Cricetulus griseus: one gene and its partners. The protein of the gene in region 2 interacts with the protein of the main gene of each other region in a pairwise test. Links are inferred from orthologs where the notes say so. Each region holds a gene or a part of one and is shown on either strand. Other genes may lie near its edges. The genes, in order: Eif4e, Eif4enif1 and Efhc1.

Evidence for each region.
Region 1: the proteins of Eif4enif1 (region 2) and Eif4e interact in binary tests that used the Homo sapiens proteins (3 or more experiments, as listed by UniProt). The link is inferred for Cricetulus griseus from reciprocal best matches to the Homo sapiens genes EIF4ENIF1 and EIF4E.
Region 3: the proteins of Eif4enif1 (region 2) and Efhc1 interact in binary tests that used the Homo sapiens proteins (3 or more experiments, as listed by UniProt). The two-hybrid records come from large-scale screens. The link is inferred for Cricetulus griseus from reciprocal best matches to the Homo sapiens genes EIF4ENIF1 and EFHC1.

Annotation. Positions count from the first base shown.
Region 1 is NW_023276806.1:21,044,813-21,052,092, forward strand, and holds the start of Eif4e (eukaryotic translation initiation factor 4E), read right to left. Parts: upstream 4,130-7,280; 5' UTR 4,115-4,129; coding exon 4,085-4,114; intron 1-4,084. UniProt on the Homo sapiens protein: Acts in the cytoplasm to initiate and regulate protein synthesis and is required in the nucleus for export of a subset of mRNAs from the nucleus to the cytoplasm which promotes processes such as RNA capping, processing and splicing.
Region 2 is NW_023276807.1:101,714,811-101,721,862, forward strand, and holds the start of Eif4enif1 (eukaryotic translation initiation factor 4E transporter), read right to left. Parts: upstream 4,659-7,052; 5' UTR 4,534-4,658; intron 4,488-4,533; exon of another isoform or gene 4,338-4,487; intron 3,722-4,337; 5' UTR 3,694-3,721; coding exon 3,598-3,693; intron 1-3,597. UniProt on the Homo sapiens protein: EIF4E-binding protein that regulates translation and stability of mRNAs in processing bodies (P-bodies). Plays a key role in P-bodies to coordinate the storage of translationally inactive mRNAs in the cytoplasm and prevent their degradation.
Region 3 is NW_023276807.1:25,022,633-25,029,614, forward strand, and holds the start of Efhc1 (EF-hand domain-containing protein 1), read right to left. Parts: upstream 4,890-6,982; 5' UTR 4,873-4,889; coding exon 4,744-4,872; intron 416-4,743; coding exon 194-415; intron 1-193. UniProt on the Homo sapiens protein: Microtubule inner protein (MIP) part of the dynein-decorated doublet microtubules (DMTs) in cilia axoneme, which is required for motile cilia beating.

The DNA of each region.
Region 1 (7,280 bases), on a different chromosome or scaffold from region 2:
AAAGCAAAGCCAGGCACAGTGGTGCACACCTTTAATCTCAGCACTGAAGAGGCAAAAGCATGTGGATCTCTGAGTTCTGGGCCAGTCAGAGATACAGTGAAACCTTGTCTCAAAAAGGTGGTGTGTGTGTGTGTGTGTGTGTGTGTGTGTGTGTGTGTGTGTGTGTGTGTGTGTGTGTGTGTGTGTGTGTGTGTGTGTGTGTGTGTGTGTTGTCTTAGTGGTTAAGAGTACTTGTTGCTCTTGTAGAGGATCCAGGTTCAATTTTCAGCACCCACATGGTGCTTCACAACCACCTGTAACTCCAATTCCAGACAATCCTGTTATGAGGACCACAAAGATAGATATATTTGCATATATATTAAAGGATGTTATGGGGAAAAGGACTCATGGGTACTGGACAAGGTATAACCAGTTGCAAAATCTCTCTGCTCTGCGCAAGGAAGCTGGGAACCGGCCACATGCTGCCTCAAGCCACCTGACCCAGTATTCACGACCCAAGAGAATATGAGACCTCTGCCTCTCTCATGTCTGAAGACAAGAAGCCATTCCCTAAGGCTGGTACCCCAAAGGTACTGGCAGAATAAATTCCCATAGCAGAACCCAACACCCACAGGCACCCACATACACATGACATACAGACACATATGTAAGTAATAAAATAAAAAAATGATAGCAAAAGACAGGACTTAGCCAATTACAGTCAATGTATTTAATGTTTCACATTAATTCAATTTTTATTTTATTTATTTACTTTTGTTTGAGATAGGGTCTCTCAGTTTAGCCCTGGCTGCCCTAGAACTCACTCTGCAGACCACGCTGACCTTGAACTCACAGAGATCCGCCGGCCTCTCTCCTCTGCCTCCCAAGTCCTGAGATTAAAAAGCACACTCCACCATTGCCCAGCAATATTTTTTTAAATTCACTGAAACTTTCCACTAGCAAAATATCCTAAGTGGCAAAAAAGAAGTCAGGAGAAGGGAAGTGATCACTTGATGTCTTTTGAAATCTACCTACAAAGTTCTAGACCAAGTACTAAAACAAATGACTATTACACAATGAGCTTTCTGTATTTGTGGGTTTGTTATCAACAAACTCAACAAAAGATATTCAAGGTAAGAAGCAGCTCCTATTCTAAAAATGACACAATTTTTTCATTCCCTAAACAACCCAGTATGGATCTTGTTGTGGTATTTGTGTTCTGCTAGATACATTATCCCAAGTTCATAGCAGGGTGTATTAAGTACCATGCAAATACACCACTGCCTATGAGGCATAAGCTATCTGCAAGCTATTAAAAGTCTATGCTTTAATTCAACATGGTCACGTGTGTAAGCATCGTCTTAAAGTCTGTCTGCACAAATCTTAGAGCTGAAACAAAGCCCTAGAAAGCTTATCAACACTAAGCTCCCTTTCTCAAGTTACCCTCCATGCCCAGCAGATAGCAGTGTGATGCTTACAAGCACAGCCAGAACTCGGCTGCCTTAAAGGTTTCCTCATCTGTGAATTAAGAATAACTCCACTCATCTAACAGAACTGCTGCAAGCAATAAATGAATATATATAAAATACTTACTCTGAGGCCCAACACACTAAGTTAGCAATTAATAAAGATCTGCCTCTATTAAAAATAGTCGCTACAAAAGCAAACAGTTGTTACAAACAGGCGGTGACTGAAAGGTCATTTTTTAAAAAATTACTTGCTTAGAACACTAAATCCACATTCCTGGAAATACTAGTCAGGCTTGTAGTCCACCTAAGCCTCCCATCAATTTCCATGGAATAATGTATTTTTAAAATTACAATATACAAAGAGGAACACACATTCAGAGACAACTACTTGTTTCTGACTGTAAGACAAAAAAAAATGACCTTTTTTTTTTTTTTTAGATGAAAAGCAATCCTTTCTTCTCTAGATGTGACTAGACTCTGGTAAAAACAGGAAAGTCGACAATACCTGAGCTGTGATCATAGATTTCACATTGCTTGCTAATAATGGCCAAGGACTGACAAGAATTTTCCAGCACAAGATGTGCGCATGCAGAGAGGTGCCGAACCTTGATTGAGTACAAACATTAGATCCACACAAGTGACACATATCATCTCCAATACTCCATTTAAAAATCAGGGTAAAATTAAGCTATTTGATTCCCATTTTTACCCGGACTAAGAAATTTCAATGTTCCCCACTCCCAGGAAAATTTAAACAAGACTGTATAAGCCATGCTTAATCCCACTCCTCAGTCATCTCCCTGAGAAAGACCGCACAACTCATAATGTAACAGAATCGAGTCTCCAGTGTGGCAGGGAAGGAAAAGGAGCAATGACTATTGACACGATAACTATTGCACATGTCTCCTATTATAAGAGGGCTGCTGGTACTTCTACTGACCTTTATAGTTTTAGCCTTCTAGAACAGTGGTTTTTCAACCTTCCAATGCTGTGACCCACCAATACAGTTCAAGCTGTGGTGACCCCCAGCCATGAAGTTATTGTTGTTTCTACTTCATAACTGTTATTCTACTACTCTAGGAATTACAACATAAATATGTTTCTGGTGGTCTTAGGCAACCCCTGTGAAAGGGTTTTCACCCCCCAGTTGTGAGCCACAGTCTTAGAAATTAAGTGTGTCATGAAAGTGCTATTGCTCAGGACTTTCTGTTCAATCTGGATTAAGCCAATCTGAAAAATTTTAATTGATTCTATGTAACTATGATGCATAAAGTGTATATCCACATTTCGTTTTTCTAAGTCAAACAATCACACAGATTCAGAGTATAAAGTGAAGTGAAATGTGAAATAACTAAACAAAGTTACTAATAAAATGAGTTCCTGCTGGAGAAATGGTTCAGTGGTTAAGAGCACTGGCTGCTATTCCAGAGGAAACGGTTCAATTTCCCACACGGCAACTCACAACTGTCTGTAATTCCAGGTCCAGGGGACCTGACACCCTTACACAGGCAAAACACCAATCAATGCACATTAAATGAATAAAATGAAATGAAGCATGGATTTAACTTTTAGGGCTAGAGAGACAGCTCAGTGGTTAAAAACACTGGATGTTCTTCCAGAGGACCTGAGTTCAATTCCCAACACCCATATGGCAGCTCACAACTGTCTAACTCCTGTTCCAGGGATCTGATACCCTCCCACACAGACATACATACAGGCAAAATACCAATGCACACAAAATATAAATAAATAAATTACAAAAAATGAGTTCTCAATTAAAAAAAAAAATTGTCAATCTGCTTACCAATAAACAGCTTTTCGGTTGATACATTTTATAACTTTTAGTGCTTTTCCTTGTTTTTTTTTTAAGCTTTTCACACATATATTTACTTATTTATTTCTCTATGTGTGTGCACTTGCCTTGGTGTGGACTTGGAGATCAGAGGACAATTTGCAAGAGGTCCTGTTTGCAACCTGAGGGTTCTAGTCTCCAACTCAGACCCTCAAGTTTGGCAGCAAACACCCTTGCCCCTAAGCTATCTATCTCAGTGGACCTTTTCTCTTAGACTTTATTTTGCTTTAAGACAAGGTATGACATGTAGGCCAGGCTGTGCTCCAATTCACAGTTCTCTTGCCTCCACTTCTGAGTGAGTCCTCAGGTTACAGGCATGCACCACCACAGCTGGCTTCTCCATGTTTGCCAGTCTTATTTTAAAAGCAAGGCTAAGTATAAAGAGAGGAAATATCTGGACTAGGTGTGATGTTGTGCACCTGTATATATCCCAATGCTAAAAAGGCAGAACTCCCAGCTTTGATCTATGGAGTTCCAAGACAGACAGACAGACAGACAGACAGACAGACAGACAGACACAAGTTCCAGACCTACACACAGACACACAAAAAAACACATTTTTTAAATAACAGGAAAAACAGCAGAAGAAAAGTAAGCTATCTAAAAGGAAGAACCCATAGAATACCATCAAGGACATGGTCTACCATTTTCACTAAGTCTAATTTTGACTTTCCTCAATTCCAAACTAAGAGGAGCAACCATTTTCCACAGGTTCTGTAAAGCAATATATTTCCCCTTTGAACGTCTCAATCTCTATCTGTAAGCCATTACTTGCATAACTAACCTCAAACACTGATTGAAAATGACTGATCATTCGAGGGGCGTTGGTGACGAACACCTTTAATCCCAGCACTCGGAAGGCAGAGGCAGGTGGATCTCTGTGAGTTCGAGGCCAGCCTGGTCTCCAGAGTGATTGCCAGGATAGGAACCAAAGCTACACAGAGAAACCCTGTCTAGAAAAACAAACAAAAAAGAAAATGATCATTTATGGATTTTCCATAGATTACTGGAAATACTGACAAATACTTATAAAAGGTTGGATATGTAAGGAGAGAAGTATCACCTACTCATGACTAAGTAAGTTGCTCTCAACTTTCCTAATCCTGCAACCCTTTAATACAGTTCCTCATGCTGTGGTGACCCCAACCATAACATTACTTTTGATGCTACTTCATAATTGTGATTTTGCTTTTATGAGTAGAAATGTAAATACCTGTGTTTTCAGATGTTCTTAGCTGACCCCTGTTGAAAGGGTTGTTAATCCCCCAAAAGGGGTCAGGACTACAAGCTGAGAACCACACTGCTCCAGGTGCTTACAATTCAACACACTACAAAAAAAAAAAAAACTAAAGAAACACACACAGCAATAACCAAGTAAGACTTTTACAAGCTTTAACACAGTTCCTCAACTGCAGTCCAATAGTAAAATATAACAGCTGCTTTAAAAAAAATAAAAAGATCTGAAACTGAAGAAGCACCAGCGTAGTTTAGTAGCAGAATGAACTTAGTGTACACCAGGCTCTGAGCTGAAAATCAAGCACCAAAACCAAATCTGTTGTTGTTGTTTATTTGCTTTGTTTTTCAGGAGAGGGTTTCTCTGTGTAGCCCTGGCTGTCCTGGAACTCAAAATCCACCTGCCTCTGCTTCCAAAGTGCTGGGATTAAAGGCATGCACCACCAAGGCTGGGCTCCAAAAGCAAATCTCAAAAATATTAAAAATACCATGAGTAGTCTAAAGGCAGGGGTGTTACAAAAAGAAAAACAAGTACCTCAATGCCACTCTGCACACTATCTCCAACTAGCTTCAATGCAACTTTCACAACAGAGTTATCACTAGGAATATTTCAACTCTGACCCAAACCAGGCTCCTAAGGAACAAGTACAGACCACATTTTGTACAACTCTGTATTCTAAACCTCACTTGGTACCCCACCTTAAACATATCAACAACTCAGAACTGACTTAGAACAAACTCTAAAGACACTAAGTTGTGGTTTTAACACAATCCAAGACTTGAATGTAACTGAAATATCATAGAACATATTACTGTTTTATTGCTTAGGGTCTTTTTCAGTTTTGCCTCTATTACTGCCCATACTATTTTCCCCTAATACTGGTAGAGAAAAGTATAAGACTCAGAAGTAGATACCAGAACTTGTCAAGAGAGTTTACGTTAAATTTAAATGCTTCCCTCTTGTTCTTACATAATACTGATATTCTAAAGTCAGTTAACTTCACTAACAACTTATGAGGCAGTTTTGCAGACAACCAAATTGCCAGGAAAACTGATGCCAATAAAGAACAAGTAAATCACGCCAAAAAGAAAAAAAAAGTTGCCTTGAATTCTGCCAAGATAAGTTTGTTTTGCAAACTAATCAAAATTCTTCAGTCCATAGGTGAGTTTTTAAAATTTTAAAAATATCTGGCCAAGGTAGTCTACAAGCGTTCCTGTGTCAAAGGTTTCTTCTGGTTGCTAGTCTACACCTTTAACCACCTGAGATCTTAATCACACAGGTGTGACATTTCTTAAAAAAATAATCTGGGATGCATGGCCAGTGACCCAGCTGTTGGTAAACCCAAAGCATGACCAAAAAAAAAAAAAAAAACATAAAAAACCACTCTTCTGCCTTCGGGGTAGCTACCAACACGTTGCTCGGTGAGCATCTTGCTTCAATCAATTTCGGAATAGTGCTTTAATGAAGAGGAAAGCAGTGTAGGGTGGGAAGGAGGGAAAAAAAAAAAAAAATCAAACGTTAAAGCAGTACTGAGAGGCCGGACTCCAAACGCTGTCCTCCGACTTCCACATGCGAGCCAGACACGCGCTGCTGCCCTCGTGCTTGTTTTTTGTTTTGTTTTAATTTAAGGAAAGACAATCTCGAAAGTTTCTATTTCCAATATTAGTGTGTTCGTTGGGGATCTTCCAGACGGTCACGTCGCCTCAGAGCAGAAGAATCTACAGAGTCGTAGGGTCGGAGGCGTGCGCGCTGCGCCCAGAGAGATGAATGAATGGAAGCCCGGCCCGGCGCGTGTGAATCGCAGGTCTCCGGCCGGGTGGCCGACCCGCGGCGGCGGCGGCGGCGGCGATCTGCAGGCCTCGCTCCTCCCCCTCCTCTCCTCCATGACAGCCCAGTCCCGGTGTGGAGGGGCCGGGACAATGTGGTCACCTCGGCCGGCCCCCTCCCCCGGCCCCGAGAGGTGCGCGGCGCGGCCCCAGGGCGTCCTCCCCACTGCACCCCGCAGCTCGGCGGCTCTCCCTCCGCCGCGCCCGCCCCTCTCTCGCTCCCGCCCGCCCGGCTCCGCGCGCCCACCGGCTCCGCCAACCCACCCCTCCTCCTCCCTCCTCCTCCTCCCCGCGGCTCGTGCGAGCGCGGCCCGCACGAGGATCCCGGCGGCGGGGGAGGCGCAGCTGCCCCAGGCTCCCTCGGGCTGCTCCGGGCCGGTTCACCGCCCGCCCGCCCACCCCTCCGAGCACCGTGCCCGCTCCGAGCCCGCCCCGCGGCCCCGGACCCGCGCCGCCCGCCCGCCCGCCCGAGCCGCCCGCCCGCCCCCCGAGCCGCCCTCCGCCGGCCGCAGCTCGGGCCGCGCGGCGCCCCTCCCCCACCGCCCCGGTGCCCGGGCCCCCCGCACGGCGTGTGCGCTCCACGCTGCCGCCGCCAGCCTCCCGGCGCCCGGGCTGCCCGCGGAAGGTCAGGCCGGGGGGACGGGGGCCGGGCACGGCCGGCGGCGGCGTGCGCGCCGGGAACGCCGCCCCGCGGGGAGTCCCTGAGCGGAGGGAGCCGGAGCGCGGGGACCTCGGGGGTGGGGGCCGAAGGCAATACTCACCGGTTCCACAGTCGCCATCTTAGATCGATCTGATCGCACAACCGCTCCTGAAGGGGGGGCGAGAGGAAAAAAATGAGATTCAAACCGGATTGGCCGGCTCCTGCCCACGTGACGGACGCGTCCGTTTGGCCCTGGCGGCGCCTGCGCAAGACTGCAGCT
Region 2 (7,052 bases):
TGAGAAGAACAATGTAAAACCCCAAGCAGTAAATAGGTTGATAAATACTAGAAGGAAACCTAAAACACTAAAGTCACTTTTAGGGCTATCTGCTTCAGTGTTAGAATGGAGATGAAGGTGGGCAGTACAGTTTAAGGTAAGAGGGTATTCCTAGTAGGCATTAGGTTGAGCAGACTCCACGCAACAAACAAACAAACAAAAAAAAACAGTAAAAGAAGGTGGTTACTCTATGCCATGTACAAAGCCTGCCTTGATTCTAAAGTTGGCACTAAAAGGACTCTCATCCTTGGATAGGCCTGTTTAATACATCATCCAGTTTTTAGCATCTGCTGTGTAGCAGGCACTGGATCTTCACTTTCCCATTTATTCACCATAAAAGCTCCTGCAAGATCAGCTGTAGTCTATCTTTACTTTAGAGGAGAGATTAAGAGAAGCTAAGTGGCCAGGTGTGGTGATGCATGCCTTAATAAAGTCCCAGCATTTGGGAAACGGGACAGGTAGATCTCTGTAGGTAGACAGGTGGATCTCTATGTTTGAGGTCAGCCCTTGTCTACGGAGGGAGTTCCAGGACAGCCAGAGCCAGGGTTATACAGAGAAAGCCTGTCTCAAAAAGAAAAACAAAACAAAACAAAAAAAACCAAAAAACAAACAAGAACAAGAAAAAAAGAAAGAGATAAGCTAAGTGTAAGACTGAAGGTCACACAGGTTAAAGGTAAAGTAGTAATCCAGTCCATGAGTGGTACCTTAACAATCCTTAGTCTCTCTTTTTGTCCCCAAAGCTTGCACTGACAAGAAGAAGGTGCATCACCCCTTTCTGAAGCTGTGGCACTAATTATTAGACTTGTTCCAGTCTAGCTGGACTACTAGGAACTCTCAACCAAACTCTCAGCTTCTTAGGCAGGTTGCCCTTACGCCCAGCATCCTAATATACCACCCTTTCTTGAATAAAGGTTCCTTCTACAAAATTTTTTGTTTGGTTTGGTTTCTGTTTTGAGACAGGTTTCTCTGTGTAGCCCTGGCTGGCCTTGAACTCAGAGACCTGCCTGCTTCTGCCTCCCAAGTGCTTGGATTCAAGGCATGGGCCACCACTGCTTAGCCGTTCTTCAAATTTCTATGTGCAAAGACTAGCTTCTTATCTAGCTAAAGTTCCTATCATGCTGGGCAAGTAGAACACTCATGGGGTCAAAGAACCTGAGTCCCAACTTTTCAAGACGAGTTAAAATGGAAAAGGAAGATAATGACAGTCAAAACTCAGTACTTATGGTCTTGCCAACCAGCTAAGAACTTCCAGGTAGCTATGTATTCTGGACAGCTGACATATTAAGATCAGATAATGATTTTTTCACACCCTAACTCTGCCTTCCTGAAAATAGGCACCCTTATTTTTATGCTAGCTTAAATACACCACTGAAATGCCACCTGTTAGAGGTTTCTACTCAACTCAATTTATGGAAGACATGTAAAATTAGCAAAGATGACTTTTGTATAGGAAATAAATCATCTGATTCCTGACTTCTGCCTAAAATTTTTTGTTTGCTTTGTTTTTTTGTTTTGTTTTGTTTTTTTCATTTTTTGTGACAGGGTTTCTCTGTGGCTTTGGAGGCTGTCCTGGAACTAGCTCTTGTACACCGGCTGGTCTCAAACTCACAGAGATCCGCCTGCCTCTGCCTCCCAAGTGCTGGGACTAAAGGCGTGTGCCACCGCTGCCCAGCTCTGCCTGAAATTTAAATCTGAACTCTTCTCTGGCTTACTTTCCTTGACAGGGTCTCACTACATAGCTCTGGCTGTCCTGTAACTCACTTTGTTTTTTTTTGTTTGTTTGTTTGTTTGTTTTTCAAGACAGGGTTTCTCTGTGGCTTTGGAGGCTGTCCTAGAACTAGCTCTTGTAGACCAGGCTGGTCTCAAACTCACAGAGATCCACCTGCCTCTGCCTCCTGAGTGCTGGGATTAAAGGTGTGCACCACCAATGCCCTGCTTGTAACTCACTTTGAAGATCAGGCTGACCTGGAACTCACAGACAACCACCTGCCTCTGCAAGCTGTGATTAAAGGCATGTACCTCTGTATTGACTGCAAAATGCAGCTTTTGTTCTTGGGAACACAGCAAAACAAATAAGAAATTATGAATATTAATGACTTAAGACCCTGAGCATGATGGCCGGGTGTTGGTGGCACACGCCTTTAGTCCCAGTACTAGGGAGGCTGAGGCAGGAGGATCTCTGTGAGTTCGAGACCAGCCTGGTCTCCAGAGCGAGTGCCAGGATAGGCTCCAAAGTTACAGAGAAACCCTGTCTCGAAAAACAAAAACAAAAACAACAACAAAAAAAGACCCTGAGGATGACAGGCGCACATGATCAACTCATTTATAATATCCCGGTTAACTGTCACAGAGGCTTAAATGTTGGTGTAAAGACACCATGTGACTTTAGCTTGAATTCCTATACTTGGAAGCATAGCAGAGGCCACTCTAAACCTCAGGGAGCAGCTATGTATCTCAGTTACCTGACAAATGCCATTTTTTCAGTCTTCCACATTAGAGACTACTTAAAAAAAGCCAAACAAGAACTAGGAAATTTGGAATCCCATAAGATTGTAAGTATTTCAAAGCCACTTCCCTTCATCTGATACGTTCAGAATTCACCTGTCAACATTTTAGGCAATGAGTTTAAGTTGTGGAGTACTTTTCAATCTGAATCCATAGTTCAAAAGCATTCCGACAAATGTTAATCCCGGCACTAGGGAGGCAGAAGCGTCTGGTCTGTAACTGACTAATAGGAAAACAATCAATTAAGAACTCACATTACACTTAAAAATTCCCACCCAGGCATACTAAATCCATTCATTCATTCATTCATTCATTCTCTCGTTAACGCTGAAAATTACTACCTGACACTTTACCAATTAGGGAAGTGTAAAGGCAGTTCACAAATAAGCCCAGCTTTACTGAGTATCCTAGGAGGCCAGGGACAATAAACCACAATCATGCTGAGGTTCATGATGGTGATCACAGTAAGGAAATATGGACATGGGCTCAACTACAGCATAATCCCTCTCACTGGCCATTTCAAGGCTTTCCACTTCAGGAACATTTTACTCTAGCCCAGAGTATTTCAGAATGCCAGAAACAAACAAAATAGTTCACTGGAACTTATTAATCTATTCAGTAACACTCAGCAGCCATTATGACACAGATGCAATATCTTCACTAAGTACAAAACTTGGATGTAGTTCCTGAGCTAGGGATGACAGCAAGACGACCAGTTTCAAACTACATGTAGTAGTGCGCACCTCTAACTTCACAATCAAGAGTCTGAATTGAGTACCATAGGTAAGCCATGTCTCCAAAAACAAAAATAGGAAGCTTAAAATCACTATGTATTCTTAAGCAATGAAATAGTTGTGAGTTCATATCCCATCTGTAACAACAACGACAACAAAAGCTACAGTTTAAACCCAGTAGTCACACTTCCAGAAAAATGACCAAACTGATACTTTACTAAATTTATTTAGTCTCTAGTGAATCATAGCCAAGAGTGCCACTTTAAATAACTCCAGTGAGATAGCTACACATTACTACTTCACTAATAACAAAACTTACTTTTGTATAGCGGTGAGGGGATTTGGAGGTGGGCAGTTTCTTTAGCTCAAGGAAAGCATCTCCATTTTCTATTTCATCCACACCTCTCTTCTCCATGGCTTCTTGGTGTACAATTTTTTTGTACCTGGGGAGATAAATGTCAGCACAAAACTGTCAAAGGAAACAATAAATATTCAGAAGCCTTAGCTGCGTATGAGACTGAAACTTTGAGGGGTAAAAGTCTAAACAGTTGTGTAAAGAAATCCACCCAAAAATTATGGTAGGAACCAGAACTAAATTGGAAAGAGAACCTCCACAGAGAAAGGAAAGCAGAAGTGTAAGGGGCTCAACTCAGGATACAACCTTTAATTATCTTTAATACAAAGAGAAACCAAAATAGTCGCTGCCACCCACGAGAACCAACCAGGCTGTGCTGGTGAAGTTTCCCGGTGTAAAGTAAGAACAGGACTGATTGGGCTGTCGATCCGGGAAGTCAGGCTGCTGGAAGTGCCTGTCACTTGTCAATGGATGGCACCAGCTGCCCCTTATTAACCCCAGCGTAAGGAGCTAGGGGAACCGGCCCGAGCGCACCTCTCTCAGCCGGCCACACCTGTGGCCATGTGAGGGACGTCCGCGGCGAAGGAAGGGCCGGTGCCGGCCTCCTGTGGGAGACTCTGTTCCTTAATAAACCAACCCCCGGGCCCTCACGCAGGCCCCCGGGCAGAGGCCTCCTCGGGAAGAAGGGCGGGGATGATACTCACGAAGGGAGGCGGGCCGGAGGGAGCAGGGACCAAGTCCACAGGCCGGCCACCTACAGCCGGCGCAGGCCCGCCTGCTGGCTCGCCGGCCGCCCGCGCGCCTCGCGCCTCTGCCGCCCCCTGCGCGCGCCCTGCCGCCCGCGCTCCCGGGGCAGCGCGCCGTCCTCGCCCGCAGGCCGGGGCCCCGCTCTTGCCGTACCCTTGTGCTGAGCGCCCGCCGTCGGGCGGCCACACGCTTTGGCCGCAGCGTCCCACCGCGCCCGCTCCAGGCCCGGCGCCGCTGCCTGCGGCCTGTGCTTGCGCCCCCCCCACCCTCTCGGGCTGGCTCTCCTCAGCCGCCGTAACCGCGGCCCGGCCCTCCGGCGCAGCTCTCCGCCCCCTCCCCCTAATAACCCCCGTCGCGCACCGCGGGCCCAGGCGCCGCCCTCTCAGCCCGCAGGACCTGAGGTGTCCGCGGCGGTGCCTGTCGGAAAAGCCGCACTGGGCGGTGCGCTCCGCCGCGCTGAGCTCTGCGTGGGCCGGACGGCGAGGGCATAATAGCCAGACAGGCACGGTGGCTGCGGGGAAGTAGTCTCAACGGGAGTTGCGGGAGCCGGTGCCCGAGCGCTCAGGCGGCCGCTTTGGGCAACTCAAGGAAGGGCGCCGCGTTCCCACGCGTCGGGAAGGGAGGAGCCAGAAGCGCGCTGCCCCAGACCCGCGCCACGCCGGCGTGAGCCGGGTGGCTTGGGTGGATGTTCGTCGTCCCGTCGCTAGCGGTCACCAGACTGGGCCTCACCTGGGGCTGGGACAGCAGGAGTCAGTTAAAAGAACATAGCACTGCTCTGCTTGTGTTTATTATTGCAGTGTTCAAGGGTAAAGCTCTGAGCGCTCTGATTTTTTTGCTCCCCCCCCCAAAAAAAAACTGTCCCCAAAGTTACTATGCAGAGGATTAGCCACAAGGGCTGGTATATTAATAAGCAAGTTTGTCACAGTTACATTTGATCCTACGTAAAGGAAATTGAGTTAATTGAAGTATCTTCCAGTGAATAATCGGAATCTTGAGTTACCCTGCACGGGCAGGGAAGAGTTAAGTATCTGGGGGAAATTTAGATGGCCGGCTTCGGGCTCGTAGCCTTTACCCGAGTGCCGAAACTCAAGATGGCAGAGGATACAGATACGCATATAAGTAAATAATCCAAGAACTGCGGCCCTGGGCTGGTCAATTGTGAGCCTGGTATGCAGGAGAATGCTAAACGGATTCTGCTCTGTGGGACTGCCCATGGTTGAGGTTTCTTTAGCGTGGCGGGGGACTTAGTTTTGTTTGTTTGTTGATATCGTTTCTGTTTTAGTTCTTTTTCCTCTAAAGAACAGCGAGGCTGAGCATTTTGGCCTATGCATGTAATCTTTGTTTTGCGGAGCTTGGGGCCGGGAGTTCAAAGCCAGCGTGGGCAACATGGCATTTGAACATCATTTTTTTTTTACTTGGGAAACTACTTTGCTTTCTTTCTGTGAGCCATGACAACAAAAGTAATTTTCCCCCTTTGTAAGGATTAATAGAATTTTTGTTCCAAACTATCTTTTGGGGCAGGGTTTTGCTATGTAACCCTAGCTGGCCTCCCAAGGCCAGGAACTGAACTTTGGGTCCTCTAGAAGAACAAGTGTGTGCGACAAGAGACAGAGGAATATTTGCACTGAAATAATAGGCTGTATAGAATTAGAAATGTATTCCTCTTTAGTTTGGTTTGCCAGACGGTAATAGCAAGTAGTAAAGGTTAAATTTGGCAGTGGCTGGACAGTGGTGGTGCACACCTTTAGTCCCAGCACTCAGGAGGCAGAGGCAGGCGGATCTCTGTGAGTTCGAGACCAGTCTGGTGCACAAGAGCTAGTTCCAGGACAGCCTCTAAAGCCACAGAGAAACCCTGTCTCGAAAAAACGAAAAGAAAAAAAAAAAAAAATGCCAGTAGTGGGGGAAAGCCTTAGGTAATCTGCATAAAGATTCTTTGGGAAAATTTTTCTAGATAGGGTTTCTCTTTGTAACAGCCCTGACTGTCCTGGAACTCTGTAGACCAGGCTGGCCTCAAATTTAACAAAGATCTGCCTGCTTATCCCAAGTGGTGGTATTAAAGGTGTCCTGCCACCATCCCCAGCTGGGAAAAAAAAAAATAAAGCCACAAAGACACATTGTAGCGAATCAACAATAGTTGCTTTTCTTTCTTTTTCCCCCTGAAACAGGGTTTCTTTTTCAATGACTTTTTTAAATTTAAATTTATTTATTTATACAGTGTTCTGTCTGCATGTATCCCTGCAGACCAGAAGAGGTTACCAGTCCTGATTACAGATGGTTGTGAGCCACCATGTGGTTGCTGGGAATTGAACTCAGGACCTCTGGGAGAACATCCAGTGCTCTTATTCACTGAGCCATCTCTCCAGCCCGAGACAGGGTTTCTATGTGTAGCCCTGGCTGTCCTGGAACTTGTTCTGTAGGCTGGTCTTGAACTCACAGAGATACCCCTGCTTCTGCCTCCCATGTGCTTGGATTAAAGGGAGGCACCACTACTGCTCAGCTGGGATCTACATTCTTAAAGCTGAGAGAAATAGGAGTAATCCTCTTGTTATGGAGTACAGAAGGCACCCACTCCCAGGTGTTGACTTAGAGACCCAGATCTCAGGCATGCTTGGTGCCAAGACTTTACCTGAGTTATTCAGTTTTCAGAATCCTAGTCAATGCTAGGAAAGTAC
Region 3 (6,982 bases), about 77 Mb from region 2:
TAATCTGCTTCCTGCCTAGAGAAAGTCTCTTTCAAGGCCCAGTTCCGCTGTCTGTGACTAAGGTTTGAGGCATCTGAGCAATTTTCTCTCAGAGTGAGTACTCAAGAAATTCTATGATTTACTGATAACATTTCTGCAAGTGCTCAAGTCTTAGACATCTGATCAAGGGGTACCCTAAAATCCCAGATGATACCTTTTTATCAAAAGCCACATGAGCAGGAACAAACTCTGCAGGTGGGGGCTGCCTGGGGGGACCGTAAGTTAAGATGGGTGCTTTATTGGCCAGATCATCCAGCTCAGCCTGCGACAGCTGGTTGTAGTGGAGCCGGTCTCCGCCTATTCCCATGGTTGGCCGTCGGACAACTGCATAGCCATTCCTGTAGTCAAGCGTCTGGCTTCTGTGGAATGCTGTTTTCTGAAGGAAAGATGTACGCCATTAATAACCTCATAGAAATCTTTAAGTAAAACAACTCCCTAACACAGCTTAAACTTTTGCTTTGAAAATATATTTTAAAATTGTGTGTATGAGTGTAGATGAGTGCATTTGAGGGCAGATGATTCCTTGGGCCAAAATGGATATGAGCCACCTGATGTAGGTGCTGAGAATTGAGTCCAGGTCCTCTGCAAGAACAGTTCTTGCTCTTAAATGCTGAGCCACCTTTCAAGCTCCAAATGTTTGCTTTTCAGCATCACAAAGTGTACGCCAAAACTTTTCACTGCATTAAAAGGATACTTTTAATAATTAATTAATTAATTTTATATCTGGGCCGCAGTTTTCTCTCCTTCCTCTCCTCCCAACTTCTCTGTCCCCCATTCTGCCCTCCCCCCAAAAAGGGGTATTTTAAACCAAAAGACTTGGTCAGGAGCAAGGAGGGAAGTAGAAGCCACCTAAGGTGAAAATAAAACAGCTCTGCTCTGTGATGTCGGGCTTACCTATCTCTACCACACCACTTCATCTACAATTTATTTTCATGGATCTTGTATTTCTTCTTCTTCTCTTGGTGGTCATGAACAATAGCCTCAGAAGATCTGGTTTTCTGAATTGTAATTTTCCCTTCAGCAACAGCCCTTCTTATTGACACTGACACATTTATACAAGTCTTTGGAAAGCACAATGCCAGCATATATGTAAACATCCAGTAATCCTGCCCTTTTCTTAAAGATACAGCCCCAAAATTATGGGAAAGAAAGATAGACTTGAAGCTAATCATAATAGTGACAAATATATGAGTGTAAATATGATGCTTACATGTTGTAAACAACCTAAAGGACAAATATAAAAAAGAAAGGAAATGATGGAAATTTCACTCATTGGATTACTATGCAAGAATTAAAATAGTTTTAAATACTACGCAGAAGTCTGGTGAAGTATTTACAATTTATTAAAACAAAAAGGGCACCATGTAAAATTATATAAATACACTACAATTATAAGCATTCAAACTGGATTTGGTGAACATTCTGTATTCTGTACTTCTGGATTATGTTCATTCTCTGCCGTGAATATACATTTGTTATCATTGGAAATGTAAAACATTAAATACAGGGGAAGAATGAAATTGAAGTTATATTAATTTAGTGGGTTTTATGTTCTTTGAAGGGTTATTTTCTAATTGTATATATGTAGTATATTTATTTATTATGCATATATGCATATATAATATAATCAAATTTTATGTTTATTAAGAGTAAAAAGATTTACTTGCCTATCTCCCAATTCTTTGGAGTCCAGCCTACCATCTTTCAAGGTCTATCTTACCATCAAAGCAACAGCAGTATGGATTTCTGCTAAAAGAGTTATGGAGCACAGACCTTTCTTTAAGGGTCATGTATTCTAGTCCAAGTCAGGTGACAGAGGCTGTACCAGATGCCTAACACACAGACATAGAATAAGATGTACTGGGCAATGTGCATAGCTCCAAGTTCCTCTTTGGAAGCCCTCAAGACAGAGGCAATATTATTAGAGGCTGAGAGTATAGCTTGGTGATGGTGTACTTAGCATGTTCAAAGACCTAGGTTCAATTCCCAGCACCTTCAGAAGTAGGGAGGAGGGCTCGGGGGAATCTTGGCAGGAAAGGGTTACTAATCACCACGACTGGCCACCTAAATTAGATCCTTGGAACCCATATGGTAGAAGGAGAAAATTCCCAGACATCATCTTATGATCTCTACACATGCTCAACAGCAACCCCTCTCCCCAAAATTATGAAATAAAACATCAATAACTTCAGTTTATTTTCTTTGTGGTTAGTGGATGTCTCTCTCACCAGTCAACTGTATCATGGGACACCCCAGGCAAGGCATTCTTAGGCCTCCCCGCTTCTTACTTATTAGGGTTCACCTTCTGGACACATTTTTCTTTGGAGTTCCAATATTCCTTCATTGATGAAGATGCAGTTAAGAAGGTTTTCAAGTTTCAAGTAAGGATAATTAATTGACAGTCACTCGGTATATTTCATATGGACCTACTGGTCCAAGGCAGTTCATCTTTTCATATAAATATTTAAAGTCTGGCAATTCTAGCCACAGCTCTATAATCTCCCAAATTAATTCAACTCTATCTTGTGGGTAACCCCACTCACAGACACCGAATGTTTCAGCTGATTCTGTACAGCATAGGAAAACGTCAAATAGTTTTAAATTATATGAAATTTAAAAGGCTCATTGAAATGGCAAATCTGTGGTGCTGGCCAGGCACAGTGACTCACACTTTTAATTCCAGCACTTGAGAAACTGTGGCTGGAGATTATCCAGGGTTTGAGGGCAGCTTAGGTTATATAGTGAACTTCAGGCCAGCCTGGCTACAAAGGAGAGAGACTGTGTCTCAAACAAACAACAACAGAGAAACACACGTAGGGAGCTTGCATCTTTAAAAACGTGACCATGTTATATCTTAATGCAAGAGTAGAAGAGAGTCAGAATCCAAATTCTCCCCACACTTTCCACTGAAATGGAAATCGATGTCCCCTAGAAAACAAGTAGACTAAATAATTTCCCTTAAGAAGTGTGAAATTGATGAGTCTGAATTATTAAACTATACAAATATGAATTACTATTGGCTCATCTACATACACCACTCTACCGAATCTCAATGTTGATTCTCCAGAATATTTTTGTAACTCTGTTAGAATTAAAACAAATGCTGGGAGCATTTAAGAGATGTACAGTGGGTACAGCTCAGTTGGTATCCTGTTTGCCTGTAACTCACAAAGCTCTGGCTTTGGTGACCTGACTGTAATCCTAACACTCGGGAGCCCAGAGGATAAGTTCGATCACCCCAAGCTATATAGTAAATTTGAAGCCAACCTGGGTTACATGAGACCCTGTCTCAAAATAAATGAGAATATAAATAGTTAAACTATGTCAAGAGGAAACCAAGAACCAAACTACTGCTGAAATGGGCTTTGATCCGAGGCATTTTTATTTTGTTGGTGGTGGTGTGGTTGATTTCTCTCTCTCTCTCTCTCTCTCTCTCTCTCTCTCTCTCTCTCTCTCTCTGTGTGTGTGTGTGTGTGTGTGTGTGGTGTGCACATGCCTGGGTGCATGTATGTGACCTTACATGTGAAAGATGGAAGCTGACATGGGGAGGCTGCATCAGATAAAGGCCAGTCTAGTCAGGTAAAACCCATCTTGCATGGGTTCTAGAGATCTGAATTCCACTCCTCTCATGTGAGCAGCAAGCGCTTTGTCCACTAAGCCACCTTCCCAGCCTCGTTTATGCTTTCTTTCCATGCTGTTCTTGTTCTGTCTGGTTTGGATTTGTTGCTGTTTGGAGACAGGCACTGGCTATGTGGTCCAGGCTAGGCTTAAATTGGCCATCCTTATGCCTTAGCGCCCTGAAAGCTGTGATCAAGGATGTGCACCACCACACTGGACTTGTTTTAATTTAATTTCATCCAGACAGTAAATAAAAACATCGGGGGAGGGCAGGTAAAATACAATCTGAAGAGGGGTCCTTTGTGTTGGCATGCCTGAGCATTTCAGGAGGCTGAGGTAGGTGGTTTTCAAGTTCAAGGCCAGTCTGCACACAAGATACAACAAACAAACCTCCCCACCAACGTGCACAGCCTGAAAAGGAATCACACACACACACACACACACACACACACACACACACACACACGTTAAGAATGTAAAACACAGACTATGGAAGGAGAAAACACCAAGTGGTCCATGTGGTTGAGGTAAGTGAGATGGGAGAAATACAAAGCAGAGAGGGGAAAAGGTAGGCACGCTTTAAAAAGAAACTTCAAGAAAACCAAGATGAGCTGGGGGAGGGATTCAATTCTAAAGTACAATGACGCTGGAGAGAAAAGTGACCCTCAACTCAGAAGCCCAGAGACTCCGGGTAGGGCGGGACGGGGAGACCGGTCAGGAAAGGAGTGCTTGGAAAGGATGCGTGTATACATATACACGGGAAAGGGGGCTGAAAGGCAGCGATCTTGAGGATTCGGAAGGGGTCTTAAACGAAGTTGCTGGGTGTGTGTGTGTGGGGGGGGGTTGTACACACGCAATGAGGTACGGGGGGATGAAGGCAGAGAGGGTTGAGTAGAGTAAGAATGCATCTGGGGAGAGGCGTGGAGATGACCTGGAGTAATGGGGCCAGAAGGCAGGTAGGTGGGGCAGGAAAGTAAGAACCCGACAGCAGTGAGGACCCAGGTGGTGTGTGGACAGGGCGGTAGAACCTGTGGGATGGAGGAGAGCAGAGGCGCCGAGTAGAGAACCCTTCCGACTGGTCCTCACCGTGGTGTCCGTAAAGGACGAGCCCGGGAGAAAGGGCAGGCCGGGCACCGGGTTGGTCACCATCGCAGCTGTGCAGCCGCCACCACCGTTGCCTTCTGCCTTTCGGGTTACCCTGGCAACAAACAACATCCGCGGGCCTCTCCAGACTCCATGGTAACGCCAAACACCAACGGAGGGAGGAGGAAGCCGGGAGGAGGGGGGAACCGAGGACAGGTCTGCGCGTGCGCATAGAACCCCTGAGGCTCCGGGCCACTGGATGTGGCTAATGGGTGTGTCAGAGGCGGCTCCGCCCCTTCCTTCCCTTCCCCTTCCCTTCCTCCTCAGCCCCCTAGATGGCTCCCAGAGGATGCAACCCAGAAGCAGTTTCTATGAAAGGCTGAAGGAGGTTGGTGTCCTCAGGCTTTGGCTCGTGCAGTGAGGTCTGGGGATTGGAGTACGTCCTTTTAGATGAGTTACAGAGGAGAAGTGCCTTCTCTCTCTGCGTTAGTCCTCCCAAGAGCTCAGGAACTCTTTCCCATCTCTGGGAAAAGAGCTGCTGTCCCAGTTCACACAGTGTGAATGATTGCTCTCCGGTGAAAGTGCTAATTGCTTCAAACTCATACTTCTTGGGACCGGGGTGGTGGGTTAGATTATTACTGACTGCGTTTCTGTTGCTCAGGCATGATTTAGAACACAACATCCCCACCCCCCACCGCCATGCACTTCCCCAATCCCTCCCCAGCTTCCTGGTCCCCTTTCTGCTATTTCACCATTGGCTCCTGAAGGCTCAGAGCTGTACTGTGTAACTGTTGATTGCAGAATAGGATCTGCCCATCTCAGTCCCTGCTTTGTATCTACAGACGCAGTAATTACAACCACAGAAGAAGAGAACACCTTCAAAAAGAGAGGCCGAGTCACGAGAAAGAAACAAGACCAGTGAAATACTGCCGAGTATGGCGCTTTCTGGACAACTTAATATATTTTTTTTCTTTTAAAAAAAGTGACCCCCATTCCTGAAATATCATCAGGAAAAGAAAGAAACCAAGAACCCATCAGCACTGAGAGCTTAAAAATAAAAACGAAGCCAAGATGCCCAAGGGCTTGGATTATGTTTCAAGATTTCCCAGGAGTCTGATCTTCAAAACATGTGTTTCTGACCTATGAATTTAGAGACAGAATAGAGTAGTAAGCCCGAGGGAGAAGACATAACGCTGCGTCATGGGTCACTTGCTGCCACCAGTTCAGACGGCAGCTGTATTAGGCTTCTCTAGAAGAACAGGACTGATAGGATGAATCACACACACACACCACACACACTCGATTTACTAGAATGACTTACAGGCTGTGGCCCAGCTAGTCTAACAATGGCTGTCTACCAACAGAAGGTCCAAGAATTCAGTAGTTGTTCAGTTCTTGAGGCTGGATGTCTCAGCTGGTCTTCGGTACATGGCAGAATTCCTTTAAGTCGGAGCTAATGCCAGTGAACGAATTGACTTGCTATCGAGAGTGAGAACAGCAGGCAAAGAGCAAGCTGCCTTCTTCCATGTCCTTTATAGAGGGCTCCAGCAGAAGGTGTAGCCCAGATTGAAGGTGGATCTTCCTACCTCAAAGATCCAGATTAGAAGTGAGTCTTCCCACGTCAAATGACTTATTAAGAAAGATCCTTCACAGGGGTACCCAGCCACTTGGGTTTTAGTTAATTACAGATGTAGTCAAGGTGACAACCAAGAATAGCCATCACAACAGCTTTGCCTTTATGGCTGCTCACCACAGCAAATCTTCCTGTGGGTTTCACTAACTGTCATGAAGCTCCAGGGGCCAGGATAAGAATGTAGTAAGTGGCATCTAAAGCCGTCACTGGTGACATTACACCTACCCCCCCAAAAATCATTTTTAGTACCTCTTCATTCCTCCTTACTACTGTTTCTTGTTCTTGCCTGTCTGTCGCCTCTTGTCTTCATCCTTCTCCTCTGCGTCTTCCTTTTTTGTTGTTGCTGTTGTTCTTTTTGAGGCAGGGTTTCATTATATATTCCTTGCTGGCCACCTAGAATTCCCTATGAAGACTAGACTCACAGAGATGTTTCTGACTCTGCCTCCTAATGCTGGAGTTAATGGCATCCACCACCATATCCAGCCTCCTCCTTTCCTCCTCCTCTTTGGACAGTCTGGGTTGTGTGTGCCATCATACCTAGATCTTGTCCCTTAAAAAATCCTTTCTCATTTTTTTCTTGTGTACATTAGCTTCACTAGAACACCCCCA